Xenopus tropicalis: one gene and its partners. The protein of the gene in region 5 interacts with the protein of the main gene of each other region in a biochemical or structural test. Links are inferred from orthologs where the notes say so. Each region holds a gene or a part of one and is shown on either strand. Other genes may lie near its edges. The genes, in order: pdcd4, cdc42ep3, gpbp1l1, odf2, lrrk1, abl1 and foxp1.

Region 1 (3,996 bases), on a different chromosome or scaffold from region 5:
GATAATGTCAATGGTAACATTAAGTGGAGGAGGAGGAATAACGGGCTGGGGCTGTTACCATGGTTTGGGCCCCAGGTACTGGTGAAACCTTAAGGCTACAGGGTACAATGACATTCCTGGTAATTCCCTGCTCCCTACTTTGTGGGACAGTTTGGGGGGCCTTTACCGTTTAAGCACAATAATCCCCCCCATGCACAGAGCCAGATCCATACAGAATGGGTTTGCTGAGATGGGAAGAACCTGACTGAGCCCTGACCCCAACCCAACTGACCCCCTGTGGGATTGAACCCCGACTGTGAGCCTGATCCCCAACATCACTGCCCAACCTCACTAATGCCCTTGTGGCTGAATGGGAGCAACTCCCAGCAACACTGTTCCACCATCTAGTGGGAACCTTCCCAGAAGGGCAGGGGCAGTTATAGCAGCAAGGGGAGGGGGGGCCCAACTGACCCCCTGTGGGATGGAACCCCGACTGTGAGCCTGATCCCCAACATCACTGCCCAACCTCACTAATGCCCTTGTGGCTGAATGGGAGCAACTCCCAGCAACACTGTTCCACCATCTAGTGGGAACCTTCCCAGAAGGGCAGGGGCAGTTATAGCAGCAAGGGGAGGGGCAACCCAACTGACCCCCTGTGGGATGGAACCCCGACTGTGAGCCTGACCCCCAACATCACTGCCCAACCTCACTAATGCCCTTGTGGCTGAATGGGAGCAACTCCCAGCAACACTGTTCCACCATCTAGTGGGAACCTTCCCAGAAGGGCAGGGGCAGTTATAGCAGCAAGGGGAGGGGCAACCCAACTGACCCCCTGTGGAACCCCGACTGAGACTGATCCCCAACATCAGTGCCCAACCTCTCTAATGATAAAAGGATAAAAAGAGAGTCCTTACTTCATAAACGAGTTCATGGTGAAAGTGAGGGACTTCGAGCTCCTGTAGGCACCGCTCCGCTTCCACAACATCCCCAGAGAGCACAAACTCTTTCAGCAGCAAGTCAATCTGTCACACGGGGGGGGGGGGGGAAGAGCTACGTTATAAAACTGTCACACAGAAATGTATTTTAGCTCCAGTTTCACATTAATGAACACTTTACCTCTTTAACCAGCTTATTAACTGGCAGTTGCCCTCCGCCAGTCCCCCAAACGCTGTCTATTCTTCTTCTCCCTCCCTTTGTTATACGCAGTAACACTGCTGCCCGATCTAGCGCCGCACTAGAATAAGAACATGGAATATAGATTATCTATTGCAACAATAAATAGAAGCAAATGCATATGGGGTTCAAAGGTGGGGAAGACACCAGTGAGACATAACAAAAGGGGCAAACAAGAGGGTCTCGGGCCCTTAGCGGGCCTACACTATGGAAGTGATGGAGACACTTACTGATGACAGGTATGTTCTAAAAGGGACCAAAGTCCAGGTCTGGACTGAGCTTTAAATTAGGCCTTGGTATTATCAGTATACAATGCCCCAAAGGGCCTACACCAGTATAATAAGTGGTAACTGTTTATGGTATCTTAGAGCAGACCCTCTGCTATCAGTCCAGACTGGCTTTAGACCCCCACAGGTGTAAAAAAAGACAACCTAAAGGTAAGTGAGATATATTGGGACACTTAATACACGAATATATTAAATAATATAGTGTTGCATGCATGATATATACACACAAAAAGGCGTACAGAACAAGAGATGAATTTTCTTAATTACTCTCATCTCTGCCCTGCAGTTCTAGTAGCGAGCAGCTCATGGTATAAATGCTGTCCATGCAGAATGTCTTTTGGGTGGGCTAGCTTTAGACCTATAGGATTCATGGGGTGGGCTAGCTTTACACCTATAGTACTCATTGGCTGGGTTTAGCTTTACACCTATAGTACTCATTGGCTGGGCTAGCTTTAGACCTATAGGATTCATGGGGGGGCTAGCTTTAGACCTTTAGGATTCATGGGGTGGGCTAGCTTTATACCTATAGTACTCATTGGCTGGGCTAGCTTTAGACCTATAGTACTCATTGGCTGGGCTAGCTTTAGACCTATAGGATTCATGGGGTGGGCTAGCTTTAGACCTATAGGATTCATGGGGTGGGCTAGCTTTAGACCTATAGGATTCATGGGGTGGGCTAGCTTTACACCTATAGTACTCATTGGCTGGGCTAGCTTTAGACCTATAGGATTATAGGATTCATGGGGTGGGCTAGCTTTAGACCTATAGGATTCATGGGGTGAGCTAGCTTTAGACCTATAGGATTATAGGATTCATGGGGTGGGCTAGCTTTAGACCTATAGGATTTATGGGGTGGGCTAGCTTTACACCTATAGTACTCATTGTGTGGGATAGCTTTATACCTATAGGATTCATGGGGTGGGCTAGCTTTAGACCTATAGGATTCATGGGGTGGGTTAGAAATAACCTATGAGATTCTCACAAATAAGGTGGTACTTGTGAATGCTAAACAAGTTGGTTATAAAAGGGTATGACTACTAAAACCATTCTGAATCCTTTTGTGACACTTGTTAATCTGTGTGGCTAAACGCTTCTAGTAAGACTCTGTAATTTTGACTTATATTAAAAGAAGCCTTTTTTTGGCTAAACTACCTTTTCTCTGGGTCTTGTTCTTCAACATAAGGTTTTGGTAAGTAAAACTAGCAACAGAAGCCAATTATCCACTCTTTTATGTGACCTAGCATAAGCCTCAGCCATCTCTCTCCCAGAAACATTCATGGGAATATTTGCTCCTTCTGCTGACCGGGCACATAACATACAGTTTTTGGTTATGGTATCCAGTATTCCAACTGATACCTATCTATCTGCCATATTTGTAAGTCTAATCTGGCAACGCACAGTATCTGCCAATGAGGAAGATGAAGAAGAGGAACTACAGTCTACTTCACTCCTTATGGTTCTGACAGCCCAAGAGTGAAATAACAGCAAGGGGGTCACCGTTGTAGGGTGTCCATCCGATCACGCTGATACAGCATTTATTTGTGCTTATTGTAATACTTTGTATTTATCTATTTTAATACCCGTTTATATTAATGTATTCTACTGTACAGCGCTGCGTACATAAGTAGCGCTTTATAAATAAAGTTATACATACATACATACAGTGGAGGAAATAATGATTTGACCCCTCACTGATTTTGTAAGTTTGTCCAATGACAAAGAAATGAAAAGTCTCAGAACAGTATCATTTCAATGGTAGGTTTAACAGTGGCAGATAGCACATCAAAAGGAAAATGGAAAAAATAACTTTAAATAAAACATAGCAACTGATTTGCATTTCATTGAGTGAAATAAGTTTTTGAACCCTCTAACAAAAAAAGACTTAATACTTAGTGGAAAAGCCCTTGTTTGCAAGCACAGAGGCCAAACGTTTCTTGTAATTGATGAGCAAGTTTGCGCCCATTTTAGGAGGAATGTTGGTCCCACTCCTCTTTGCAGATCATCTCTAAATCCCTAAGGTTTCTGTCTCTGTGCAACTCTGAGCTTGAGCTCCCTCCATAGGTTTTCTATTGGATTAAGGTCCGGAGACTGACTAGGCCACTCCATGACCTTAATGTGCTTCTTCTTGAGCCACTCCTTTGTTGCCTTTGCTGTATGTTTTGGGTCATTGTCGTGCTGGAACACCCATCCACCACCCATTTTCAGTTTCCTGGCAGAGGGAAGGAGGTTGTCGTTCAGGATTTCACGATACATGGCTCCGTCCATTTTCCCGTTAATGCGAATAAGTTGTCCTGTGCCCTTAGCAGAAAAACACCCCCAAAGCAAAATGTTTCCACCCCCATGCTTGACGGTGGGGACGGTGTTTTGGGGGTCATAGGCAGCATTTTTCTTCCTCCAAACACAGCGAGTTGAGTTAATGCCAAAGAGCTCTATTTTGGTCTCATCAGCCCACAGCACCTTCTCCCAGTCACTCACAGAATCATTCAGGTGTTCATTGGCAAACTTCAGACGGGCCTGCACATGTGCCTTCTTGAGCAGGGGGACCTTGCGAGCCCTG
Region 2 (4,792 bases), on a different chromosome or scaffold from region 5:
CCAACCACACAGCTTGGAAGTGCCACTTGTACTGTGACATGTTGGCAGGAGGGAATTGAGTGTGAGCACTTGAGCCTCTGACAGCCCAGCAACTTTTTTTCTATCTGATGGTTGACTAATTGAGGCCTTATTCTGTAGCCTAGAAATTTGTTTTTATTAGAGTAAAAAAATGGTCAGTCACCAAAAATTCATATACATTACAAAAATGAATTACACTAATACATCACCAAGGCCCCACAATGTACCAATACACACACAGCTGTAAGAATTCCTATTCTTCCTGCAGAATCCTGAGCATGCACACAGACATATCCTGCTACGTGCAATAAAATATATACTCACTTCCTACCATCTCTCCATACACTTCCTTCTAAGTCTAAGGGCACACAAGGAGATATGTGAGCATTTTGATGTCACTACTTTTCCATGGATTGGCATATATATATATATATATATATATATGGACTTGTTGCCTATTGGTTCCTTCTATACACATCTGGAATTGGCTGAAGCAGTTCTGCCAAGTATTATGCAATTAGTGTGCCAGTCATGCTTTCAGACCTGCCCAAGCTGTAAGGGTTAAAATCATGCAGCTGCAAAATCCATGTCAGTCAACAACCTAATTGGCTAACTGATCATCAAGTAACTGGCCAATCAGGTTAGTATAGCAGAAAACTGCAAAAAGTGACTGTTCGCAAGTCCCACTCATCCCCCACCCTCCCTTGAGGCCTGCAGAGCAGCAATGAAATTGCTTTTGGCTCTTAGGTATTAGTTAGGGGGGCACTGGAAGGGGTGGCATTTTGTAGCACAAAAAATGTTGCGTCAGTTGTCTAATATGGGGGGTTGATACATTCTGACATTTCTGCTGAAGTAGGACATCCATATTACCTCCATAGACAGCTATGTTTTCTGATGATAACTGAGCAGCTGTGCAATACTTTAGGAGAATCCAGTTGTCCCCCGTAGGAAACAGTAGTCACAAATCCATGTCTTTCACCCTAAGGTGGTTACACATAATATAATCAACATGTCTCACTAATGACTCGTCCCTAATTCTCAGTCCATAAAACACAAAGTATTCTAATAATGGGCAGGCACAGGCAAATTGCCCTGCTAGGAGACATTTCTGAAATAGCAGCCACTGTCCTCCCTGTATTGGGTTGAACTGGTGAATAATATTCATATCACCGCAATCAGGGCACACCTATATCTCTGTGCCTACAATGAAGAAATAATTAAGCGCATTAATTCTGCACTATAAAACCATAATGTAAGCATCCACAGGGTTGATTCGCTATGCACGTTATTAATGAATGTCTTCCACAGCAATTAAAGATGTGTAATTAATTTTCACACAAGCAGGAGAAATATTGTTTGTTCAGTGGAAATATAATAGAGCAACACACACCCACATTCATTAAACAAAGGCTTTTATGCTGAGCTGCAATCAGACACCCATGTAGTTATTAGAGAAACAGACGAGTCGCTGGGCTGGAATGAGGAGCATGCATATCTGTACACATTCCTCTGCTAGCATCTCAAACATGACATGCTTGGCCTCTGTCCATATGGTTAGAATAAAGTACTAAGTGCATGGATAATAAGGACATCTCCATCAGCGCTGCCTTTAGTGGTGGGGCCCATGGCAAGAGTCTAACCTATGGTCTTAACTACAATTTCCATGTCGGGCTGTTGGACAGTGCTGGGAGTTGTACTTTAACAGCAACATAAGGTTGGGCAACAGTGGCATTACATGCATTACTCACGAATCAAAGACCTGCTGTCCTTCACTCTTCTGACCTTGCACCACTCTATCTTTTTTTTTATGTTATATTTCATTAAATCCTGTTCAGCTATTGGTTTCATTCAAAATCCTAGTAATTAGATTTCACTGATGACAAAATATAATTGTGCTCATAAGTGAACTGGCCAGTAGCACAGATTAGCTGACATTCTGCCAACAACGTGCTATTTCTGTCCTGACTCTCTACTCAAACAGGGGGCACATATGCAATACATGAATGCTTTAACATATCAGCCACATCTTCAGGGTCATGCAGGCACAGACCCCTAGCCCACCCTTGTCTTAACCCTTGTCTGGCAGACCTATAGGTGCCTTAAATCCCATGTATTATTATTTATTACCCTTCATTTATACACAGTTTAGATGCCATATTTAAGTTAATGCAGAACTGTTCAGTAGATCCCAGTCACTAATAGGTTACAATCTGATGTATTTATCTATTTTTAAGGAGGGGGGTGGGCTGAGACATACAGAGATTAAGTGACTTGCCCCAGGTCACAAAGAACCATCACAGTTAAAGTGCAGGTCTGACTCCTGAGTACCACAGACTTAACCCTTTACAACCTATAGGAGCTTGAGATGATAGATACCTATAGTGTATATTTTATTCATTTTACATTTACATTTATATAGTGTATATTTTATTCATTTTAGGCATATATGTCTCAAATGCAGCCATATATGAGGTAAATACTGTTTTCCCCAGAAATCTAGGAGGGCAATAAATCCAGCACCCATTCTCTTAATGGAACACCGGATTCCCAGGGGGTTTAATTATTTTTTTCGGTACTATGGTTCCATTGCTGTATGATTAGGGCAGCCCAGAGAAGCAGTGTGACTGTGCAGAGCCCTATATTACAGATATCATCATTCTACATAATTCCAATATGAGATTGATTGGTATTCAATAGGGGGTATATGAACGATGCCAGCGACCAAGCCTACTGACTTACCGCTCTGTGCCAGGGAAATGCTTCTCTCTCAGCTCAGATCGCTTCCCCGATCCCGATTCTCCCAATACAATGTGGGGATGGATCGCTCAGTTTGCCGGCAGCTTCCTTCTGTCTGGCAGCGATTAAAGAGACCCCAGCGTTAAAAGGAGCAGAACAAGGGCAGCTGCTCCCAGACACCTCCCTTCTACACCAGCCGAGACGCGGCACCATTTACACCTGTGCCAGTCCTTCAGTCGCCCAGACCCGGCTACCAGATGCCTCCTTGGTCTGTCAGAAAAGAAAGCAGGGTCCGCATTTGCCCATTCACCCTGCAAAGTTCTCTGTATTCGGCACTATGGGGGCTGTTTAAGGCAAAAGGGTGGCAGCGCAGGCAGTCGGAGTGGAAGGAATCTGAATTAGATGCCGGTTGTGAATGAATCGCTCGCTGCTGCAGTGGAAAAGCAGCTAATGAAGCTCTCCCGGCTCTGGCTGCTTTAGTCAGTGGCTCGGCTGTGGGATAGGGGCGGGGCCATAGCAGCTAGTGGCTACATTCTCTGGTAATCATCCAGCATGGCAACCTCACTGCTCAGCAGCCTGCTACTCTCTACTGTGTGTGTGGTAATCATCCAGCATGGCAACCTCACTGCTCAGCAGCCTGCTACTCTCTACTGTCTGTGTGGTAATCATTCAGTATGGCAACCTCACTGCCCAGCAGCCTGCTACTCTCTACTGTCTGTGTGGTAATCATACAGTATGGCAACCTCACTGCCCAGCAGCCTGCTACTCTCTACTGTCTGTGTGGTAATCATACAGTATGGCAACCTCACTGCCCAGCAGCCTGCTACTCTCTACTGTGTGTGTGGTAATCATCCAGTATGGCAACCTCACTGCTCAGCAGCCTGCTACTCTACTGTCTGTGTGGTAATCATCCAGTATGGCAACCTCACTGCCCAGCAGCCTGCTACTCTCAACTGTCTGTGTGGTAATCATCCAGTATGGCAACCTCACTGCTCAGCAGCCTGCTACTCTACTGTCTGTGTGGTAATCATCCAGTATGGCAACCTCACTGCTCAGCAGCCTGCTACTGGCTACTGTCTGTGTGGTAATCATCCAGCATGGCAACCTCACTGCTCAGCAGCCTGCTACTCTCTACTGTCTGTGTGGTAATCATACAGTATGGCAACCTCACTGCCCAGCAGCCTGCTACTCTCTACTGTGTGTGTGGTAATCATCCAGTATGGCAACCTCACTGCTCAGCAGCCTGCTACTCTACTGTCTGTGTGGTAATCATCCAGTATGGCAACCTCACTGCCCAGCAGCCTGCTACTCTCTACTGTCTGTGTGGTTATCATCCTGTATGGCAACCTCACTGCTCAGCAGCCTGCTACTGGCTACTGTCTGTGTGGTAATCATCCAGTATGGCAACCTCACTGCTCGGCAGCCTGCTACTCTCTACTGTCTGTTTGGTAATCATCCAGTATGGCAACCTCACTGCTCAGCAGCCTGCTACTCTCTACTGTGTGTCTGGTAATCATCCAGTATGGCAACCTCACTGCTCAGCAGCCTGCTACTCTCTACTGTGTGTCTGGTAATCATACAGTATGGCAACCTCACTGCTCAGCAGCCTGCTACTCTCTACTGTCTGTGTGGTAATCATCCAGCATGGCAACCTCACTGCTCAGCAGCCTGCTACTCTCTACTGTCTGTGTGGTAATCATCCAGCATGGCAACCTCACTGCTCAGCAGCCTGCTACTCTCTACTGTCTGTGTGGTAATCATCCAGTATGGCAACCTCACTGCTCAGCAGCCTGCTACTCTCTACTGTCTGTGTGGTAATCATCCAGTATGGCAACCTCACTGCTCAGCAGCCTGCTACTCTCAACTGTCTGTGTGGTAATCATCCAGCATGGCAACCTCACTGCTCAGCAGCCTGCTACTCTCTACTGTCTGTGTGGTAATCATCCAGTATGGCAACCTCACTGCTCAGCAGCCTGCTACTCTACTGTCTGTGTGGTAATCATCCAGTATGGCAACCTTACTGCTCAGCAGCCTGCTA
Region 3 (4,623 bases), on a different chromosome or scaffold from region 5:
AGAGTCTGCACAGCTCTCTCCTCTCTACTGCTCCCTCCTTCCTCAAGAATGCTAAGTACTCCCTCCCCCCTTAGGAATGTGTGATCTGAGCCAATCAGCAGGAAACTTCCTCATAGTCTTACAAACTGGGCATGTACAGGGGTCTTGGTGCAGCAGCTGGCATTATGGGAATTTTCTTTACAGAGCTCAGCCTTTTGATCATCTGACCAGGAGAAATATGGGGAGACATATGCGCACTACTGAAGGTATGCCTGTATCTTGAGATTAACTCTTTATAAGCCTTTCTTTCTCCTTTAAGGAGACAGTGAGTAGCTGTAGGTTACATGGCTAGTTGTACAGAGTACAAATGACTGCATCTTAATACTACCAACAAAAGACAAAAATAAAAACGTGTAGTACATGTATGGGACCTGTTATCCAGAATGCTAGCGACCTGGAGTTTCCTGGATAAGGGATCTTTCCGTAATTAGGATCTCCATACCTTAAGACTGCTGAAAATCATTTAAATATTGAATAAACCTAACAGGATTGTTTTGCCTCAAATAAAGATTAATTATATCTTAGTTATGATCAAGGTACTGTTTTATAATTACAAAGAAAAAGGAAATAACTGGGGGAGTCGCAAGCCAGACTTTGATTTCTTTCTATTGAGTGCTATTCTGATATCTAATGGGAGCTGCTATCTTGCTCCCTTCCCATTGTTCTGCTGATTGGTTGGGCTGTGGAAGCAGAAAACAGAACTCTGTCCATTCATTGGCTGATAACCTAGCATGTATGTGTGCCTTGGCTTGTTTGTGTGCACTGTGAATCCTATGATACCAGGAGGTGGCCTTTAAAGGAGAAGGAAATGCTAATAAAGAGTTAATCTCAAGCTGCAGGCATACCTTCAGTTGTCTCAATAGTGCCCTTAAGCCTCCCCATATTTCAACCGGTTAGATGATCAGAAGCCAAACAGGAAGAAAAAACGCTGAGCTGGGTAGAGAAGATTCCCATAATGCATCGCTCCTGCACCGAGACTAAGACCAGCTCTTTAGTAAGCATTTAGATCTTCTGTGAGCAAGCACAAGCAGGATCGCTTCCCTTCCCACGGACCCTCTGTCACTCCCACTACGAGCATGAACCAATAGCAAGCGTCCGGTTGCTATGGTGACGCGCTATATAAAAAGTGGATGCAGGGGCGAGCCGGGGCCATAACAAGAGAATGCAGCCACACACAGAAGGACACAGCAGGGGGGTGCTGGGGGAGCCACAGAGAGGATGCAGGAGGATGTTGGGGATGCATGCGCAGTAGAGACGGTGAGGGAAAGGAAGTGGGCATCCCTTATTAAAGATGGCGGCGCCATTCACTGAAACGAGTACGAGTACGCAGCAGTGGGGTTCTGGGGGAGCCGCAGAGGGGATGCAGGAGGATGTTGGGGATGCATGCGCAGTAGAGACGGTGAGGGAAAGGAAGTGGGAATCCCTTATTAAAGATGGCGGCGCCATTCACTGAAACGAGTATGTAGTAGGTGTATCTCTGTAAATCTTTCATTAGGCAAGCCAGAAATATAGCATTTTTACAAAGCAATAGTAGTACTATTGAATAGTGTGCTTAATAGATTTTGACTTTCCTTGTCCTTTAATTCTTAAAATGGCAATTTTCTATTTAGGATTACCCAACAGCACATACAACTAAAAAGTATATTTTTATAAAAATGTAGATGAAACAGGGTTTTACATATGAGTAGTACTATTGAATAGTGTGCTTAATAGATTTTGACTTTCCTTGTCCTTTAATTCTTAAAATGGCAATTTTCTATTTAGGATTACCCAACAGCACATACTACTAAAAAGTATATTTTTATAAAAATGTAGATGAAACAGGGTTTTACATATGAGTTTGTTTATGCAATATTTTCTGTAAAAATATTTTTACATAGACCTACATTGTTTGGGGGGGTATAGTTTTCCTTTAAGTGGTTTAACCAACAGCCTTTTAACCAAAGGCTGTTTTTGGCTGCTGACATTAGCACAAAAAAAAAAAAAAGCTCAAGGACCACAGCATAGGGAAAACCAGCCTAAAGTTCCATATAGTTTTTATATCTCTGCCCAAGTTGGCTACCCACATACTGGGTGAAATCAGGCTGAATTGAATTGTGAGCCATGGGGCCCACAAGGATAATACCTGTAAGATATCTACCCCACTTAGTTTAGAGGCTGAGTTGGCATCCTTTATAAGCCTGTGTAGGGCCACCTTTATAGTCACCATCTTACCTTACTATAATATACTATGTTCAGCAACCAAAATCCTTTCAAAAAAGCTTTTCTTCCCAGTTCTACAGTCTGCATGGTTAAGATGCAAAACAGTGGTTTGATACTTAGGGGGAGATTTATTAAGACACGAAAGCTCGGAGCGTTCATTCGAACGCTCTGATCGTATTTTTGCCGTTTTTTTCGCGCTTGGGCAACTTTTCTGTACACCCGCGCTAAAAATTCAGAAAGGTTATACTGCTGTTTACAATCGTTCGGTACGAAAATTTAATGACTTTCGGATCGCCAATACGATATTATCGTGACTATTACGATTTTGTTCGTAAGCATTTTCTTGATATTTGCGATCTTCAGAAATTATCGTATCCAATCCGAATTTTTCCCATTCGGGATTCGAACTTGTGTTTTAATGAATCGGCCCCTTAGTATTCCACTACATTTTACATGCAGCTGCTGTTCTGCGGGGTGCCACTATATGCAGTGCTTTAGCAGTTGCTCTTACTTGGACCACATATGAGCAATGTAGCAATTATTAAGTATATAATAAAAACAGTTACTTACCCCTCACCTTGAGAACTGCAGGCCAATCCTTCCAGTTTTGTTATTTAAAGGCAATAGTTCCCAGATATGTTTCTTATTCCTTGGCTAGAGGGGGTATAAAGGGCCCCTCCAAAAGGCTGGTAGGGTTAATACCCTATTACTACATGCCAGCTTCTATTTTCAAACTTTTTATTTTTTTAAGTGCTCATCCTTTCAGATTGTTTCAGCAACACAGGGGGAAAAAATAAGTGTGAAACAGACTGTTCACATGGGATAAAATAAGGAGTCAATGCAAGAGCAGAAAAAAATCCTAAGTATGATGTTCAACTCATTAAAGAGTCTTCTGTTTCAATTAATGTGGAATGGTTGTGGGTCATACCAGTTTGCCCATTTAGTTTTTCTTAGTTATATATATAACCAGGGCCTTCAAACAACAGTCCACTAGAAGCCCAGGCTTGTCTTGCCAAACCTACAATGCTGCCATTTGGTGCCTTCATTAATCAGGCAAAAGACTACAAAGAGATGACAAAAAAGAGCAAAGAGAATCTAAAATCTTGACTACACCTATTTTGTATACTAGGCAGCTAACAATATTTTGCTGCGGTCACTATAAACACTTTTTGAAGCAAAAAACAGCAGGACTTAAAAAAATCTTCTTGTCTTAAATTCAACATCAGTAATGTAGTGCGAAGTCCAAAATACTGAGTGTAAATCACAGAGGAGGACAGATGATAAATACACTTCCAGAATATGAATTCCTGCAGTGCTGGGGAAGAAAACGTCAGCAGCCCTCTTTCAACATGGCACCTCAGTTGGGAAGCAGTAACTGCAAAGAAAAAAAAAACAAAAAACTCAACTTTATTTACAATTCTTTTTATTCTTCGGGGGTTTACTTACAAAATGTAAATGCTATAGTGCAATAGTCCTGCCATGCATAGCAACCAAATAAACTGGTTTTCTACAAATTAAAAGAAAAAAAATATGAATGGTTGCTATGAGCAAATATACTTAGCACTAATGAAAGAAAAGCAGTCCTTCTGAGTTATTGACCTATGGCTGTAGAAAATACAGTTTTTATAAATAAACATGCAGTTTAATAAACAAACAAGCATATTCAAATATTATCATAAATACATGTGCTTGGTTTGTAACATCCACAATTTCAACAAATAAGCACACACACAAAGAAGTCACAGTAATTGAAGTTATGAGCATTAGGAAAAATGTATATAAAAATGTTTTACATGAAAATAGCACATAACAATGGTGAGCAAAGTGGTGTATGATTTGAGGGCGTCTACTGTTTATGTCTTTCATGTGCTGGTACATTTTCCTTTATGCACTACTGCATTTTTGTAACCTTACTATACAGATGTTGCAGATTTTACAATTTATCAAAGATAAGGAATTAAAAATACTGCAGTTTTAAGGCAAAAATGACCTTAAAAATTGTCCTTATGGCAATGGGGTAGTAGTTATTAAGCTTTAAACTTTTAGTGTGTTACAGAATACCCTATACATAGCAACTTCTCAATTGTTTTTCATTTTTTATAGTTTGTATATTGCTTTTTTTTTTTTTTTTTTTAAACTTTCCAGCTTTCAAGAGGGCTGCTGCCAACAAAGCCAAAATCTATTGCTGTGTAAGTTTATTTCATTTTTAATTATTATTTTTTTATTTAGACCCTCTATCATTCAAATCTCTGCCTGGTTGCTAGGGTTAATTAAACTCTAGCAACCAGATTGCTGCTAGAATTCCAATCTGAACAGCTGCAGAAGGGAAAGCTATATACAAAAAAATAAAGACCAGTACAAGTATGGGATCCCTTATCCGGA
Region 4 (3,996 bases), on a different chromosome or scaffold from region 5:
TTTTTTTATTTTTTGTTAATTCCATCCTTTTATTGTAGTCCCTAGATCCAGTTGCTTTCACATACAAGACCTGTATCTGTCAGGTTTTTTTTCTTCTGTATAATGTGCATTGGCAAAAATATAGATTAATTTTTACAGAATAAATCACTGATTTTTAAGAAAAATGTAATAGTTTTATAGCATTTGGTATGAATTTGAGTGTAGAATAACTAACAAAATTGTAGTTCATCCTTTTACCGAGTTTTGTGTTTCATTTTTGGTTAAGTGACTTATGGTAGTTTCAAAATTCTAAGAGAGGAAGACAGGTTTTTATGTTTTTTGTCATATATCTGTGCCTTAGGCACCAAAGCTCATATAGCTTTGTGGAACAGAGATTCACAAAAAAGGAAAATATAACTAAATACAGAGCCATCTGTATGACATTCCAATTAATCACGTCACTGAGCAAGGGACTGACATTTCAGCCATTTTCAGGATTAGGAATTCCCATATTGACTGTCTCTTCCTTAAGAAGATAGTTTTACATAGTACAGGTATAGGACCTGTTATCCAGAATGCTCAGGACCTTGGGTATTCCGGTAATTTGGATAGTCATACCTCAAGTCTGCTAATAAATCATTTAAACATTAATTAAACCCAATAGTATTGTATTGTTTTACAGATTGTATTGTTTAAAGATTTAATTTAATGATATTTTAGTTGGGATCAAAGTACAAGGTACTGTTTTATTATTACATAGAAAATATTTTTAAAAATTCAAATGATTTTATTAAAATGGAGTGTATGGGTGATGGCCTTCATGTAATTGGGAGCTTTTTGGATAAAGGAGATCTGGATAAATCGAGATCTTTTCCTAATGATCAATTTATTATTTTGTAATTTCTTCATATTCCATGCTGCGAGGCTGCCAGGAAGTAAAGAAAAACGAGACATAGGAGTAACACAAACACTGGGGTGGGGTGGGAGGGGATAGAGAATTGGAAGAATTCAAGCAACAAAAGTATCAGCTTAATACAAAAGACAGGCATATGACAAGCATTGTCTGGAACAGGCAGAAAAAAAGTCAATACACCAGAGATCAGAGATAGCCCACCTAGGAACTCACAAGGATTACGTTCAATTGGACGCCCATTTTATAGTTTTTTTTTTTATAGTAAAATGGCACCAAAAGATGTTGTCCTATCTGTGATGATGCCATAATGCAGTGCAAGAACATGACAAAGCCACTGCACCTAGAAGTGACATTTCGAGCAACACTGATGGAGCAAAGTCATGCATCAATTTGTGTTTTTTGCTATGTGTTGTAGATCTGCCACCGGTTACTGCTGATAGTGCTCCCTCCAGAAGAGGGCAATGAAAAACCGCTCTCCATCTCCACCGCTGCATGTTCATGTCGATGAAAGCACGCCAGTCCATGTCCATATTAAAAAGGCTTCCAGACCCCCTGCAAAGACACAGGTGGGGATATTACTCACCAAATACTGATCTAGACGCATCATAACGTTAGAAATCATCTTAATAATGAACTTCAGCAACTTAAAATGTTTTGCCTGTCTTTTGCACAGCACATAGCTAAGCTAAAAAAGAAAGGAGGGATGGGAAATCTCCGGCGGAGTGCAACTGTGAAGACCAAAGTTCCATGGATCCCACCCGGGAAGTCCTCTTTGCGAGATGCAAGTTTAAAGTGGGAGGTATATTGCCTTTTACTTATAATTGATACATATGCTAACTCTGCAGCCTGTTTTTAGTACTGAAGGGGTTTGGGAAGTTACAGAATTATCTGGGGCACTGCCCTGCTCTTAATGGCCACTGAAGAGACAGTTGCTGCTTCCTGTAGTGCAAGTAAAGGAGATATCAGTAAAATTAATGTTCAGTCAGTGATTGCAAAGTTACCTAGATTATGTCTCTCTTTATTAAACATACCAAAAATTTATATTGAGCCTAAATTCCCCTATAAAATGGCGGCTGCTTATGCCTTCCACCTGCAGGGCTTAACCCATCGCTTAGAGATCACACCTCCAGATACAGAAAAAATGTTTTCAGCTTTAAGACTGAGTGACCTGTCCACAGATGAAGAAGAAATGAAGCTCAGCAAGATGAACTCTTATGAGGAAAAAATTGCCACTTTGATGAGTGAAATGGGAACGCTGAAACATGAGGTGAGGGTAATGGGTGGGCTGCAGGCCTGCTTTTGGGGTAATCAGAGTATACATTGAAAAAAGACCAATGTCCCTGCCAACATTGTCTGCTATTAGTTAGAGCTACAGAAAAGGGAAAAATATCTGGGGAGATGTGAAGAACAACTTGCTGCATCCAAGCGGTTACTGGAGGCCCAGCAGGAGGAACTGGCTGAGGTGTCCCAGGAACTTGCAGAGACAGAAAATGAGAATGTCCGGCTAAAAAGAAACCTTGATCGAATCCAGGAAGAGAAGGGATTAAGTATGTAAGTATTTGCAGTAATCCTAGGACAGAAGCTCTCCTTTCTAAGTCTAATGTCCAGCCAGCCTACTCTGGTTTAACTCCACAGAACCGATTGGTTCTTATTGGTAGGCGCTGCTTTGGCAAGTCCAGGGAGAGACTAACTTGCAAGGCTTGGGATAGCAAAACCTTCTTTCTACAAATTTTGTAAATCACGTTCCATAAATACTAGAGGAAGTACTTTTTTGAATGTGGTGCACAGGTGCATGTGCTACCTGAAAACATTCCCACTATCATGGTTAGGGTAATAAAATGCAGAGTTCCCCTTGGGCAGACTGTTTAATTATACAGTCAATTCTGAACTAAATACTGGTTTCTTTTAATTCCGTGATCTTGATAAATCTCTATTCTTTCAGGTTTTATCTTAATAATGGGTTCTCTTGTGATATTTTAGAATTCAAAAGCAGCAGCTGCAGGAAGAGAAATCTCATCTTCTGGCTAAGTTATTAGAAGCTGAAACTGATGGGACAGAGGCAGCGAGACAAGTGGCCTTGCTGAGTGACACCATTCAGAGACTAAAGCATGTACGTAGCCCGCACAGACATTTGTACTCTTTCTTCAATAGAAAAAGCCTCTTCCTAACCCCCCCTATTGTCTGCAGGAAAAGAGGATGACAAGTACAGATGTTAACCTCCTCACCAGGCAGAAGGAATTACTGCTACAAAAACTAAATACCTTTGAGGACACCAACAGGAGCCTGCGAGTGCTACTGAGAGAGCAGCACCGTCAAGAGGTAGGCGCTGTATACAGCTTGGGAGTGAGTAAGGCAGTAAAATTGGTTAACGTTGTGCATGCCATAGGCCTTTTCTATCATGGTTGCAGTAACGACTGTGAATTTTTTTTCTGTTCCTCTCAGACAGAGACATACCGACTGATGGAGCAAAAGGAAATGCTTTTGAAGAAACTGTCTGACTCTGACACAGAGAAAATGGTAGGTCTGAAAAGTGGTACACAAGCGAGATAGGATTCAGTGAGAACTATGTCTATGTGCCTGGCATCCCACCCAGCAGAGAAGTACAGATTAGGGAATGTTACAGTAGAATTTCCTGCCATACAAGATTAGGGATCAATGTAAGCTCTTAGAAGCAACCTCTTTGCAACTGGAATCTGAACTGGGAGTTATTTATTTTAGCACTGACAAGTTGGCTTTTCTAACTTCCTTGAAGGGATGCCATCAACAGTTGAGTGCAGAGATAATTAGGTTTATACTAAGGGGTAGCCACCTAAACCTTGAAATCACTTCTAGTTCCCAAGGACTTAAATGCATGCATGAGCTGTTGGTATATATATATTCTTATCCATATAGATCTTACTGTACATCAGTGATCCCCAACCAGTGGCTCGCAAGCAACATGTTGCTCACCAACCCCTTCAATGTTGCTCCCATTGGCCTCAAAGCAGGTGCCCATTTTTTAATTTCTGGCTTGAAGGCACATTTTGGAGGCATAAAATAATGTGTACTGCCATATAGAGCCTCCTGTAGTCTGCCAGTCCACATTGGGCTACCAAAAAAAAAGC
Region 5 (3,996 bases):
CAGGTACAACATGCTCCTTGATATTAGGTGTATCTATAGCAAAAGTATGGACATACTATATACAGAAAGCGGAGCATATCCACTTATAGTTAAATTGAATAAATTCTGTATATTCCCACCTGTTATTGGCAACAGGAAGAGCAATCTCAAACTTTGCCAGGAACTGAAAATATTGCTCTTCAGTCTGTTTGGTGAATCCAGTTCCAACCAGCAGCATTCTGAGATCTTCTGCCTTAATCACCCCATTCCGGGCCACAGACTTGGAGCTCTTAATGTTAATAATCCTCTCCAAACATTCTGACAACCAAACAGGGTCCAAGAAGTAAAGGTTTCTTAGGCCATGGCTAGTGTCAGGAAAGTGAAGCAAAGTCCCAGTTTCTATCAAGAAACCGATCGCTGCAGGATACAGAGAAGAAAAGGAAATTAATGATATTGCCCCTCCCACAGGCAGGGCTGCCTTTAGTGGTAGTGAGAATCACAGCAAAACAGTGAGGCCCCATTCTTTTTTTTTTTTTTTTTAGCGTCTGTCGTAAACAGCTCTGCCTAAAGCCACTAAAAGAATGAAAGCTGTATAGTAGCTAAGGGCAGGAAAAACCACATATATCAGAAACCTTTGCCCCAAATTATCCTAATATATAGCTGATATATAGGAAAAGAAATACCCCACATATGAAGATGCTAGGTACTAGGTGGATGCCATCCCGTGCCTTTGCCCAAAAGCAATAATAATTAATAACCTGCATTGTAGAATGTAAATAATGCAATATAAATACACAAGCTAGCACAGATAATGCCCTAATTAAAAATGTTCCAATGCACATACTGATTCTCACTCATTCAATTTGGGTCACATACCTGCCTGCATGTCTTCATAATCGCGTATATCGTTTCCAGGGCTCTGTTCAATAATCTGTTCTATCTGCTCATCAGTCAGGTATTGTACCTCATCCCCTTGAGCTCGTCTCTGCTGCTCAGCTACCACAGCCTCCTGAAGGTTCAGGTAGCTTCTCGGGATCTATTTGCATAACCAGAAAAGACAGAGATTTTGGATAGAGGATATGACCCCATCACCAAAAGGTAATTATATAAATTTTGCGGCCACTGCAAAGAACTGATTCTGGTGTTAAGACTGGCCATGCTTGAGAGATATCCCATGGAGTATTTTGAGCCAATAATATTTTTTTGACTCAATTAATCTGAAATATTGTTTGTAGAGCATAAAACGTACCAGCCTTCCCACTAGTTTTTGGGATCCAATGGTACTGCCTACATCCCTCATATTGCAGGCAGCATGGAATATCAGCTGGCGCAGACCATCGAGTCCCTCCAATGTTTTGCAAGAGAGTTCACTGAATAGTGAAAGCCAGAGGAAAGAAAATTACATAAAAATTGTAACATAACATTAAACACCCTTAAGTTAAAATGTGCTCACTGTAAGTGCTTGAAAGTGATATCAGGGAACCCAGTTGCTCTGGAGCCAGATGGGGAGCGACACAATGCCAGAACATAAGCTCGAAGAGTGGCAATTCTCTCCAACCGGAATTTGGTTTCTATGAAGTCAAGGTGCGTCCCTACAACCAGAACAACGGCATTGGGAGCTTTTGCCTGGAAAACAGATATCAGCTTTATCAAACAATCTGGCTACGTCAAAAAATCCAGTAACAGATAAAATAGATGAGGTGGCATTAGTAAGATTGGCTGCATGGTAACTTTTTACTTTTCTTTACAGCTCTATACCATTATCAGTATTAAGCTAACATTTTAGCACCCCCCAGAGATTGTAATTGCTTACCTTATCCCTTGGCTGGTGCTCCTGTTAGCAAAAAACCGCAATAGCCCGGGGTAGCAACAAGACATTGATCCTCTTCTTCTCCTGTCTTTGCGTCACTTGTGTATGCGCAGTAGAGTGAAAAGCAGAACTTTAACAAAAAAGTCAGCATTTTAATCCTACTGCACATGCGCCAGGAAGCGGAAGAATGAAGACGGACAGAAGAAGATCGCTGTCTCACAGCTACCCTGGGCTGGAGCACCAGCGCGGGGTAAGCAATTACAATCACTGGGGGCTGTTTTTCCTTCTCCTTTAAGCTTTAACACTCTAACCCAGAGACAAGATCTGATCTCATTATAGAATTGGAAATTCCACTTTCCTCCTAAATATCATGCCTACAAAATTGCAGCTGTGTGTCAACACTTTAATAGGCCCGAATGAGTTGCCTAGACATGGGCAATATGGTATAAATAAATTAATAATCTTTTATGTAGTCAAATATACAATACAAGTATAGGATTTATTATCTGTAAACTCATTGTTCAGAAACTTCTAAAATACAGGAATGTTTAAGCAAACAATTTTTCTTTGACAGGTTTCCTTTTTCTCTGTTATAATTACTTGATGATAAATATTGGAACATTAATCCACGGTGGTGGCAAAATAATACTATTTTTTTTTAAATGTTTTCAGTAGGATTAAGGAGTGTTTTCCTAATTAAGAAAAGGCCCCTTATCCGGAAAACTGTAGATCCCAAGAATTACACATAACAGATACCTTGCCAGTATTGATCTTCTTTGACACATGCAGATAGTTACCTCTTACCTCTATGTTCAGTAGCCAGAACTGAAGATTGGCAACAGCCTCCTCGCCAAGAGCAAGGTTCCAGACTACCACATACAAGGCTTTGTCAGTGAAGAAGCACTGGTTCACAGCGGACATTGCATTCGAACCTCCAACGTCCCACACATGGAACTGCACAGAATCAACCTACTTAAGCAAAAGGGAGAGACACGAAGGGCTCTGTGTGAAGGCAGGTTACTCAGTACAGACCTTTGTAATAATAGAATGAAACACAGTAAGAGTGGTTAATTGACTAATTCCATAACATAGTCAAAGCCAATCCAACCTTCCTTTTAAATCTTCCTATTGTTTCCCCCCACACACACACCAAACTACTAAGAAGAGAGGCTTGTAAGGTGATTTGGCAATGCTTTAAAAATATGTTAGAAGGCATTACATATAAATTAAAGGGGTCCATATGTATAGCTGCAAGCCTTGTTATAATATCCATCTTGTGGTAGAAAATAAATTTGACATTTCTTTAATGCTAATCAGATACATACAGAAACATCATCAATATCTAAATCAACTGCAAAAAAATATTTGCCACAGGTTGAAAGTGTGGGTGCATTAAAAAATTTATATATATATATTGGTTCCTTTTTTCCTAAGTGGTGTACAGGCTATCTATAACCTTACTGGGACTAAAGGTGCCCATACACCTTAAGATCCGCTGGCTTGGTGATGTCGCCAAGTGACCGGATCTTCTCCCGATACCCCCCATCTACGAGTGGGCGATATCAGGAGAATCCAGGCTAATTCGATCATTTGGCCCTGGGGCCAAACGATCAAATTATAATGACGGGCACAGGCAAAGTCGGTCCGGGGACCGCATCAACAAGCTGATGCAGTCCCTGATTCGACTAGATTTTCTAACCTTGCCCGATCGAGATCTGGCCGATTTCAGGCCAGATATTCTAACCTGCTCAATCGAGATCTGGCCGATTTCAGGCCAGATATTGGTTGGGCAGGCCCATCGGTAGTCCCCATACACGGGCCGATCAGTCTAAGGGACCGATATCAGCAGCTAGAATCGGCCCGTGTATGGGGACCTTAAGTTAGGTAAATCCTTAATGGAGAAGGATCTTGGGGTAATTGCAGATAAAAAACATGTGTGCAGCAGGAAATGTCAGACAGCAGCAGCAGCAATGTTCGTCAAAATACTGTCCTGTACTTGAAGGGGTAATAAAGGTAAGGTAGGATCTATTTAAAATATGGAGTGCAGTTTGCGTTTCCATCATATAATTCATTAATAAAGGGATATTGTCATGATTTTTTATGGGGTACTTTTTAATTCTAAATTACACTGTTTACATAGCAAATAATTCACTCTACCATTTAAAATTATTCTTAATTTCTTAATTATTCTTAGTTTTAATATTGGT
Region 6 (4,504 bases), on a different chromosome or scaffold from region 5:
GGGCAGTACCAGGCAGTACTTTATAATGCACACAGCCTGTCCCTTTATCTCTAGAACTGAAGGAGGTCAGGATAATTGCCTTTCTGAGTGCCTGGGGGGGAACAAGAAGAATAATTTCCAGATGAAGCCGCCAGTTCAGCGGCGCAGGTGAAATGACCTCTGGCCTCCCTTTTGCGATGGCTTTCTCTGCTCCTCTAATAATAATTCCTATGGCATTCCCATAATCACTATTTCCGTCTCCCCGGGTGCTGAAATAGTTAATGAGAACAGCAGGCTCTCTCTCCCCCCCCCCCTTTCTGCCAATAATGGAACGAGCCTACATAATAGCCAAATCTCTCGAGTGAAGCCAATAATTTCAATGAAGGAAATCACGTCCGAGTTAATGAAAATGATTAACACAATATTCCTGTTTATGCGCAGCCGACCCCGCCACGGCGATTTGGTTCCGCTGCCGATAATAAGCGCTCGCACAGACAAAAAAAAAAGGGAGAAATTGGACAAATAGTGATGTTTTGCAATAAGCGCCGGAGGGAGAGTAAACAGAAAACTTTCTGTCAAGCGTTGCTGGGAGGCGGGGCTTGGGGCTGCGGGGAGGCGGGGCTTGGGTGTGCGGGAAAGCAACTGGTAGCGCCACTTGCACTTTGCCATATTTAAAGGGGATATAAACCCAAATATAAAAAGTTGCCTAATGACAGAAAATCCAATTCAAACCAACTTCTCAATATCAATTCATCCCTCGCGGTCACTGGTTACAAAGCTATCGGTAACTGTATTCGCTCATTATGCTCTGCAAGAAGTAATTGAGACAATTTGCAATTGGTTTTCATTTTTTTTGCTTTGTGTTCAGATGCTCTCCCAGTTTGGTAATTCAGCAGCTATCTGGTTGCTAGGGTCTTGCTTACCGTAGCAACCAGGCACTGGTTTTAAATTTGACACTGAAATATAAATAGTAGAGGGGCTGAATAGAAAGATAAGTAATAAAAAGTAATATTAACAATAAATTGCAGCCTCGCAGAGCAATCGATTTAACTATAAAAAAAATATAAGCAATGAAGACCAACTGCAAAGCTGCTAGGAATAGGACATTCTATAACATACTTAAAGTTAATGCAAAGGTGAACCATCAATTTAAGTTGGCCAAATTGACCAATTTGGCCAAAGTCAGCAATGTATTGGCCTGTGTATGGGGCCCCCCACCAAGGGGTCTGCCTGCATGATATCTGACCAAGAATGGACAGGATATCGATTGGGCAGGGTTAATGTTTCCATCCTAGGAGAAAATTGGTGTGTGAATGTGGTCCTCATCTGATGGGCCTGTAGGCCCCCAGGCCAATGATTGGATCAGTCCAATTTGGCCCTATGTGTGGGTGGCCAAACTGGGCCCAGGTTTGTTAAGATGCGTGAGTGGGTGCTGCCACACTGCTTGCCTAGGCTGGGGCACTTTCCATAGGGAGCAAAGGCCCGAGACAGTAAATGCATGGGTGAGGACCCTCAATTGGGTCCTAAGCTGTATATGGTAACTTGGGCCCCCTGAGAAAAAGTTCAAGAAACCGTGGCCTTGGACAAGGCAAACAATATGGCTGCTGCCACTCGCACGTATAAACAAACAGAACCCGATGGCTTTGTGGGTATAACAGAAGGTTTCCAGGCCTTTGGCTACTCCATCTGTTGCCCCCCATGGGAGAGAGTGGGTTATAGAATGGATTCTTCCTTCCGTGACGCAAGTGGAACAGTAAAACTGCAGCCTGAGGACACCAGAAGAAGTGAAAAATAAACTTGCGGTGGAGCGGGGGCCGAGGGGAAGGCGGGCAAGTTGGCAGTGGGACTTAGTTCCCACAGGTGGAGTGCCAGCCCCAGATGACAGCAATCCTCGAGGGGCACTACCTATCGACCCCCCATCTCCAGGAACCCCATGATCAGCCATTCCTAAGCAAACGCATGACAGGATGTGGGAAATGCTATAAAAATGTATTTTTTTTTGGCCAGAAAACGCCCAACATCGGGTCGAGTGGTTGTTTTTTGAACTTTGGGCCAGCTGAGGATGCTGGGAGTGGTAGTGACACAAGCTGCACGGGGTTAATTAACCCCTTTGTTGCTAGGCCGTCCCAGCTAGCCAGCGCCAGGCAAGCCTGAATGTTTATGTAATCCTTGCCTGGAGCGAGGGGGGAAGCAGCCTTCATCTAATCTGTGCTGAGGCCTAGGAGAAGGGGATTAGAGATTGGAGCACTCCAGCTGGCTGCGGCCAAATCCTGGGCCAGTGGAACCCCCTCCTTTCTGCCTCCGCCCAACCCCTTTTCCCCACTGACACCCCCTTATCTCACCTTCGAGATAGCAGCTGGAGGACGAGGAGAGCCCTTTCTTGGATTTGCAACCCACCAACTTCAAGCAGATTTCCAACATTTTCATGTGTTGCATGCAGGATGCGCCCGCTCCCTTCTGCTGCCTCCTGCACTTTTTCTTCCCTTCCCCACCCTCCAGCATGCGAGGAGAAGACCAGCTCGGGTCAGGCCACTTGGCCCTGGTCGATTCCAAGTCTGTTTGACGCACTTGGGCTGTGGTTCACTCCCCTCCTTTATGGAACTGGAAAGCAGCAAAAGCCAAAGAGAAGCAAAGAAGCCCAAGGCCCCCGGCTCGGAGAGGCTCTCTGATGCTTTGGGTGGCAGGGATTCACGCCACCGACCCCTGGGGGTCAATCTCACCCATTTTTATAGGAGGGGGGGTCCCGGAGGCAGAAAAGTGTAACTTGGGTACTCTTCAGGCTAAGTTCTTGCAGAACGGTGGGACTCCTCCGCTGCTCATTCTCTCAGTCCATTAGGCAGGCTGTGTTAGGCAGGGAGAGCTGCTTACGTTAGACTGCCAACAAAGGGCCCCCTTCATGCTCTGGCTGCCTCTAGTGATGACATCCGAGGTCTGGCAACGCCTACATATGCACAGAGCATTGTTAACCCTGTCCTGGATGCTCAGCCCTCCAGCCTGACGAACTCTCTCCCAATATCCCAGGCTGAAAGTTAGTGGGGAGACTTGTAATTCAGCTCTGATTGATGGCTCTGGTTATGGGGACCTCAGACTCCCCCCATCTCTGCATAAGATATACAGGGGGATACTGTGCACAGCACTGAGTACAATAGCTATTTGCACACAGAAAACGATAAGGGGATATTTGGGCTGAACTGGAATAATGATTACTAATAAGGTGATTTCCATGCATTTTGTATGGTGGCCCTTGAGAGATAATATTGCTAATAGATCCAGATCGTTCCAAGTTTTTAATGATAAAAAACGCCTGCCTCCTGTAGTGCCCTGGCTGGCAGCATTATAGATATATCTGGTTCTGCAATACATTTAGTATCCTCCTAAAACCCATCCTGGTCTTCAGCAGATCTAGGACTAAGCCAGGTAGATACCTGCATGGGTCTGTACCCCCCCCACCCTGCTATACCCCCTTCCCAGACCTGCAACCCAAACCTATCCACAATGAGTTAAATTACCTTCCAACCCTGTAACCCAGGAAAACCGGAAGTGATGTCACCGTGGGCCGAAAGTGACATGAATCCGGAGGCAGATCAACCAGTTAAGGGCAACTAAATAGCATTACCATTGGAGGTGGGAGAGCAAGAATACTTGCTCACTAGAGCAGGCTACCCAACCAGGATTTGGACTGCAAAGTCCTAATCTGCTCAGCAAGGCCTGAGTAACCATCTTTCCTTGTGGCGGGTATATATGCTGTACTACCTTCCCTATTAGAGAGGTGAGATAATGGAATCTCAAGCAGAAGAAAGCTTACACACACAGTTTACAGCAGAACAATGAGGAATTCTCATTCATATATTAATGAACTATGGAACTTATGAGTTTCAGGAACATTCTCCAGCCAAATCCGAAATAATCTATATGCCAGCCAATGCATTCTTCTAGGCACAGGAGCAGTAGGAGGTGGGTTACCTTGATCAGTTACGGCAGGGATGGTCATTCAAAAGCCCAGCCTGAAGGTCACTAGGGGTTAGATTTGGGTGTGATATATCTCTATTGTAACTAATTTAGAATGGTTGATAAACTGATATTTTCCTGTGTCTGTAGCCATTACATGAGCTAAAGGTGGCCATACACGGGCCGACTATAGCTGCCGATATCGGTCCCTTGGACCGATTCGGCAGCTAATCGGCCCGTGTATGGGGAGAGCAGAGCGGCCTGGCCGACCGATATCTGGCCTGAAATTGGCCAGATCTCGATCGGCCAGGTTAGAAAATCTGGTTGGATCGGGGACCGCATCGGCTCGTTGATGCGGTCCCCGATCCGACTGCCACATTGCCACCCACATAATCCGATCGTCTGGCCCCAGGGCCAAACGATCGGATTATTATTTTTTTTTACCTAAATGGTCCCCGATATCGCCCACCCGTAGGTGGGGATATCGGGGGAAGATCCGCTCGCTTGGCGACATCGCCAAGCGAGCGGATCTGCTCGTGTATGGCCACCTTTAGTGGGCCCTGACCCAAGACTGAAT
Region 7 (3,996 bases), on a different chromosome or scaffold from region 5:
AGTACCTGTACTTGATCCCAACTAAGATATAATTACCCCTTATTGGGGCAGAACAGCCCTATTGGGTTTATTTAATGGTTAAATGATTCCCTTTTCTCTGTAATAATAAAACAGTACCTGTACTTGATCCCAACTAAGATATAATTACCCCTTATTGGGGGCAGAACAGCCCTATTGGGTTTATTTCATGGTTAAATGATTCCCTTTTCTCTGTAATAATAAAACAGTACCTGTACTTGATCCCAACTAAGATATAATTACCCCTTATTGGGGGCAGAACAGCCCTATTGGGTTTATTTCATGGTTAAATAATTCCCTTTTCTCTGTAATAATAAAACAGTACCTGTACTTGATCCCAACTAAGATATAATTACCCCTTATTGGGGCAGAACAGCCCTATTGTTTTAGCAGATTTGGAGATCCAAATTACAAATAGACCCCTAATCCGAAAACCCCAGGTCCCGAGCATTCTGGATAATAGGTCCCATACCTGTAGTACATTATAGTTTCATTACTTTTATAATTACTTATATAAACGGAGGGAGGACGTCCTAATCAGCCCATGCACAATGAACTGCCCCAATGTTTTACTCTGCCCAATCCCCAAAGCAACTATTACCCATTGTACGTGGATATCTCTTGGGTGATAATAATGTGATAATCATTATACCCATATACCCTTACAACATGCCCCCTAAGGGTGCGGAAGGGAAGATTCTCACCACCAGAAGTGACATTAGCCTTATAATAGCGCCAGAAGGAAAGGTTTGCTCACTTACCTGCCTAATTAAAGATGCGTACGTGAAGGGTGGTCTGACTTCAGCATTTTTGTAAAACTCTTGGTTCTGTGCAATGTCTGGCAACGACAGAAAGTCAACAGAGATCATCCAATCTGAATGCAAGGACAATATTGTCATATAGCAACTGAAACAGAGACAGTTTCTTCATCTCTCTCGAAGCATTCGGGGGGGGGAAAAGACCAACTCACCGGAAGAGATGGGCACGTTGTATTTGTCAGAGTACCGCCGCCGGATGGGCCCCACGTTGTGGATGCTGGTGGTAGTGATGACAGAAGGTCCTTGGGTGATGGGAGTGAGTGGCGCGGTTGGGGTGGTGGGAGTATGAGGTAAGCTTTGTGGGGACGCTTCTGACACTGTCTTTGAAAGGGTGGCACTCGATACTAGGTTCAGCTGGGGAGAAAACACCACATAAGAACAGGGCTTAGTCCATTGACACTAACTTGCCTATTCTACAGGGATATAATCAGCAAAAATACAGCCTGGAAACAAGTGTAACGCTTAGCAAAGTCAAGAAGTGTTGGGAAAAAATGAATTTATATAAACTTGGGTAGAGAACCAATATAGCTGTGCCTCTTTCCTCCCTCTCATTAAGCGGCAGTTAGACAATGCTTAATGGCCAAGATTCTAGCTATCTGTATAACAGAGCATTCTGTCACAGAAGTCATAGATCCCCCCATTGTAAGCCGCAGTCCTGCCCTGCTTTATGGCTGAGATTCTAGCTATCTGTATAACAGAGCATTCTGTCACAGTGGCACAGATCCTATCTGATCCCCCCATTGTAAGCAGCAGTCCTGCCCTGCTTTATGGCTGAGATTCTAGCTATCTGGCATTCTGTCACAGAAGTCACAGATCCTATCTGATCCCCCCATTGTAAGCAGCAGTCCTGCCCTGCTTTATGGCTGAGATTCTAGCTATCTGGCATTCTGTCACAGAAGTCACAGATCCTATCACCCATTTGTACATCACTATAGCATGCACGGCTCACAAATAAGTGAAATATATTTTTAAAAAGTGAAAATACCGGATGGTTAAGTGGCACCTAATAAAACTGGCCCTAGATTGTGCAATTGTGATGGGGACCTTGGACTATAAGCTCCACTAGGGGAAGGGACTAGAGTGAATTTTATGTATATATATCAGCCCTATATCAATAAAGGATAATAATAATAATGATAGTACCCCTTTAAGTATGCCAGTGAATCCTTCCTCCAGCTGTTGGCTACTATAGATCCATCCATTCTCCCTACTACATGTAGTGTACAACTGCTGGAAGAAAACGTGTGTTTGAACGTTCTGTGCGCTTAAACATTACCGCTCACACTCACACAGAGGGTATAGTGAACTTTCAGCCCTACTCACCAATAAATCATGGCGGCTGGCAAGTTTAAAGCCTGACCGGCTTTGGGGGATATTTAAACAACCTGCCACTTTGTAAACTCTACCCATACGAAGGATCTAACCAATTAAATAAACGTTCTTATTTGTTGATTAAATACGATGTCAACCCCCGTGTGTCGCCTCAACGCAACGTCCGCTCACTCTAACCCCCAACTCCAGCGGAATGCAAACCCACCATAGGCGCCTAGGAGCTCGCGCTCCGTTCTTACATTAAGCAGAACACCGTTATTAATTCAACAATGTTCATTTCATTTTTTTCCCCCCCCCGTCCCAGGCTACTTTTTTTTTTTTTTGGAAAAATATCCAGAATCTATAAATCAAACACTTTATACAGCGCCGTTAAACACTGCAATCATTCAGCCTTATTACCGTGTCACGGGTTTTTATTTCTTTTTACAATAAATTAGTTATACGTGGAGAAATTCTGCTACAAAAAAAAAAAGCGCATAACCGTATTATTTGCCATTAAATATAATTTGCCAGCCTGACTTTGGAACCGTGCAAGCCTGAGCCAAAATATTAGGTCATGTTACAGAAAGGTATATGGTATTAATCATATAAATTCCAGTATTTCATTAATTGATTTGGAAAAAAAAAAACGGGACCTTATCAGAACGTGATTGAAACATTAGTTCCACGGAGGACAAGAAACACGACCGCTCCAACGGGGAAATGAAGCTTCTCTTTTTCTACAGAAATATCCATAGTTGGGGGTTCACAACCTTGTTGGAATTCTAACACAGACTGGTTTGTATAAACGAAAGGGAGGGGGGGAAAAAAAAATACCCAGCAAACGTGTTATAAAGAGAGAAATCGGAATTGCGGTTCTTTTCATACACGGTGACCTCGCGGGTTTCCTCCGCTCACGTTACCGGCCCAGTCACTGTTGTGATTTCACGATAACCCAATAGTACAGATACAAGTCACGCTGTATTTTAATAGTCTATTAAATAATTGTCGGTGTTTTCTTTTCTCCTGTTAAATGGGACACAGATGTTCGGGTTTAGGTACGCAAAAAAAAAAAAAAGTACAGAAGTGCTAAAAGGTGGTTTTCTTTTACTTCTTACACATAAAGGGCAAGTACATTGACTCTTTTGACTCTAAAAAATATTTGCAAATAGCACGGACGCAACTGGGCATATTGGACAGGGTAGCATATACCATTGACTATCACTTCCTAAGGGTTGATAGAAGGGTGAGATACAATGAAGTAGCAATTAAAGCTAGAAGGGGAGGATTGGTTCTATTTAAAAAAGAAAAAAGTAAACTTAGATCAGTAGGGTGATTATAAGTCATGTATAGAAATCTGGTCAAAGTAAGGGGCCTATGATTAAGTGCGCATGCACAAAACGCGTCAGGTGTATTTTAAGAATATGAATAAAGACTAAAGTTTTACGATATTTCCTGGCTGTCCGGTGTGCTTTTGCAAGCCGTTTTTCGAAGGATTTGATTGGTTCCCTCAGGCTACGGGTTCAGGGCTCTAGAGCACCCGGACCACATACAGACGGGCGGTGAGTTATGCCTTACTGTGTGATTACTTATTGGAAGTTGGAGTTAGATGCACTCGGTGATGGGTCTGGGGTATATACACCCGGGTCAATACAACCGCTAGTAACTTTTGTGGCTAATCAACTTACTTAACTATTAACTAATTATTTAATTTTGTGCACATATATTCTAGCTCAACACGTATATTTATTTCTTATATTTCCCCTTCGTTTTCTTTTGATGTAAGTAAGGGGCCACAAAAACCCCATGAAGGGCCACGTTAACATAACTAGAAATACTGGAATATTAG

What was found.
Region 1: the proteins of lrrk1 (region 5) and pdcd4 form a complex in vitro, tested with the Homo sapiens proteins (2 studies listed by BioGRID and IntAct, with this or other methods). The link is inferred for Xenopus tropicalis from reciprocal best matches to the Homo sapiens genes LRRK1 and PDCD4.
Region 2: the proteins of lrrk1 (region 5) and cdc42ep3 form a complex in vitro, tested with the Homo sapiens proteins (2 studies listed by BioGRID and IntAct, with this or other methods). The link is inferred for Xenopus tropicalis from reciprocal best matches to the Homo sapiens genes LRRK1 and CDC42EP3.
Region 3: the proteins of lrrk1 (region 5) and gpbp1l1 form a complex in vitro, tested with the Homo sapiens proteins (2 studies listed by BioGRID and IntAct, with this or other methods). The link is inferred for Xenopus tropicalis from reciprocal best matches to the Homo sapiens genes LRRK1 and GPBP1L1.
Region 4: the proteins of lrrk1 (region 5) and odf2 form a complex in vitro, tested with the Homo sapiens proteins (2 studies listed by BioGRID and IntAct, with this or other methods). The link is inferred for Xenopus tropicalis from reciprocal best matches to the Homo sapiens genes LRRK1 and ODF2.
Region 6: the proteins of lrrk1 (region 5) and abl1 form a complex in vitro, tested with the Homo sapiens proteins (2 studies listed by BioGRID and IntAct, with this or other methods). The link is inferred for Xenopus tropicalis from reciprocal best matches to the Homo sapiens genes LRRK1 and ABL1.
Region 7: the proteins of lrrk1 (region 5) and foxp1 form a complex in vitro, tested with the Homo sapiens proteins (2 studies listed by BioGRID and IntAct, with this or other methods). The link is inferred for Xenopus tropicalis from reciprocal best matches to the Homo sapiens genes LRRK1 and FOXP1.

What each region holds. Positions count from the first base shown.
Region 1 is NC_030683.2:2,639,850-2,643,845, forward strand, and holds part of pdcd4 (programmed cell death protein 4), read right to left. Parts: intron 1,214-3,996; coding exon 1,096-1,213; intron 1,002-1,095; coding exon 894-1,001; intron 1-893. UniProt on the Homo sapiens protein: Inhibits translation initiation and cap-dependent translation. May excert its function by hindering the interaction between EIF4A1 and EIF4G. Inhibits the helicase activity of EIF4A. Modulates the activation of JUN kinase.
Region 2 is NC_030681.2:42,298,311-42,303,102, reverse strand, and holds the start of cdc42ep3 (cdc42 effector protein 3), read right to left. Parts: upstream 3,182-4,792; 5' UTR 2,758-3,181; intron 1-2,757.
Region 3 is NC_030680.2:90,222,493-90,227,115, reverse strand, and holds the start of gpbp1l1 (vasculin-like protein 1), read right to left. Parts: upstream 2,871-4,623; 5' UTR 2,812-2,870; intron 1-2,811. UniProt on the Homo sapiens protein: Possible transcription factor.
Region 4 is NC_030684.2:22,723,851-22,727,846, reverse strand, and holds part of odf2 (outer dense fiber protein 2), read left to right. Parts: intron 1-1,307; 5' UTR 1,308-1,353; coding exon 1,354-1,458; intron 1,459-1,565; coding exon 1,566-1,691; intron 1,692-1,988; coding exon 1,989-2,159; intron 2,160-2,255; coding exon 2,256-2,443; intron 2,444-2,872; coding exon 2,873-3,002; intron 3,003-3,079; coding exon 3,080-3,211; intron 3,212-3,334; coding exon 3,335-3,409; intron 3,410-3,996. UniProt on the Homo sapiens protein: Seems to be a major component of sperm tail outer dense fibers (ODF).
Region 5 is NC_030679.2:115,738,959-115,742,954, reverse strand, and holds part of lrrk1 (leucine-rich repeat serine/threonine-protein kinase 1), read right to left. Parts: intron 2,759-3,996; coding exon 2,594-2,758; intron 1,606-2,593; coding exon 1,433-1,605; intron 1,350-1,432; coding exon 1,229-1,349; intron 1,016-1,228; coding exon 856-1,015; intron 397-855; coding exon 120-396; intron 1-119.
Region 6 is NC_030684.2:12,823,970-12,828,473, forward strand, and holds the start of abl1 (tyrosine-protein kinase ABL1), read right to left. Parts: upstream 2,883-4,504; 5' UTR 2,482-2,882; coding exon 2,322-2,481; intron 1-2,321. UniProt on the Homo sapiens protein: Non-receptor tyrosine-protein kinase that plays a role in many key processes linked to cell growth and survival such as cytoskeleton remodeling in response to extracellular stimuli, cell motility and adhesion, receptor endocytosis, autophagy, DNA damage response and apoptosis.
Region 7 is NC_030680.2:140,892,024-140,896,019, reverse strand, and holds part of foxp1 (forkhead box protein P1), read right to left. Parts: intron 2,067-3,996; coding exon 1,980-2,066; intron 1,191-1,979; coding exon 989-1,190; intron 893-988; coding exon 780-892; intron 1-779. UniProt on the Homo sapiens protein: Transcriptional repressor. Can act with CTBP1 to synergistically repress transcription but CTPBP1 is not essential. Plays an important role in the specification and differentiation of lung epithelium.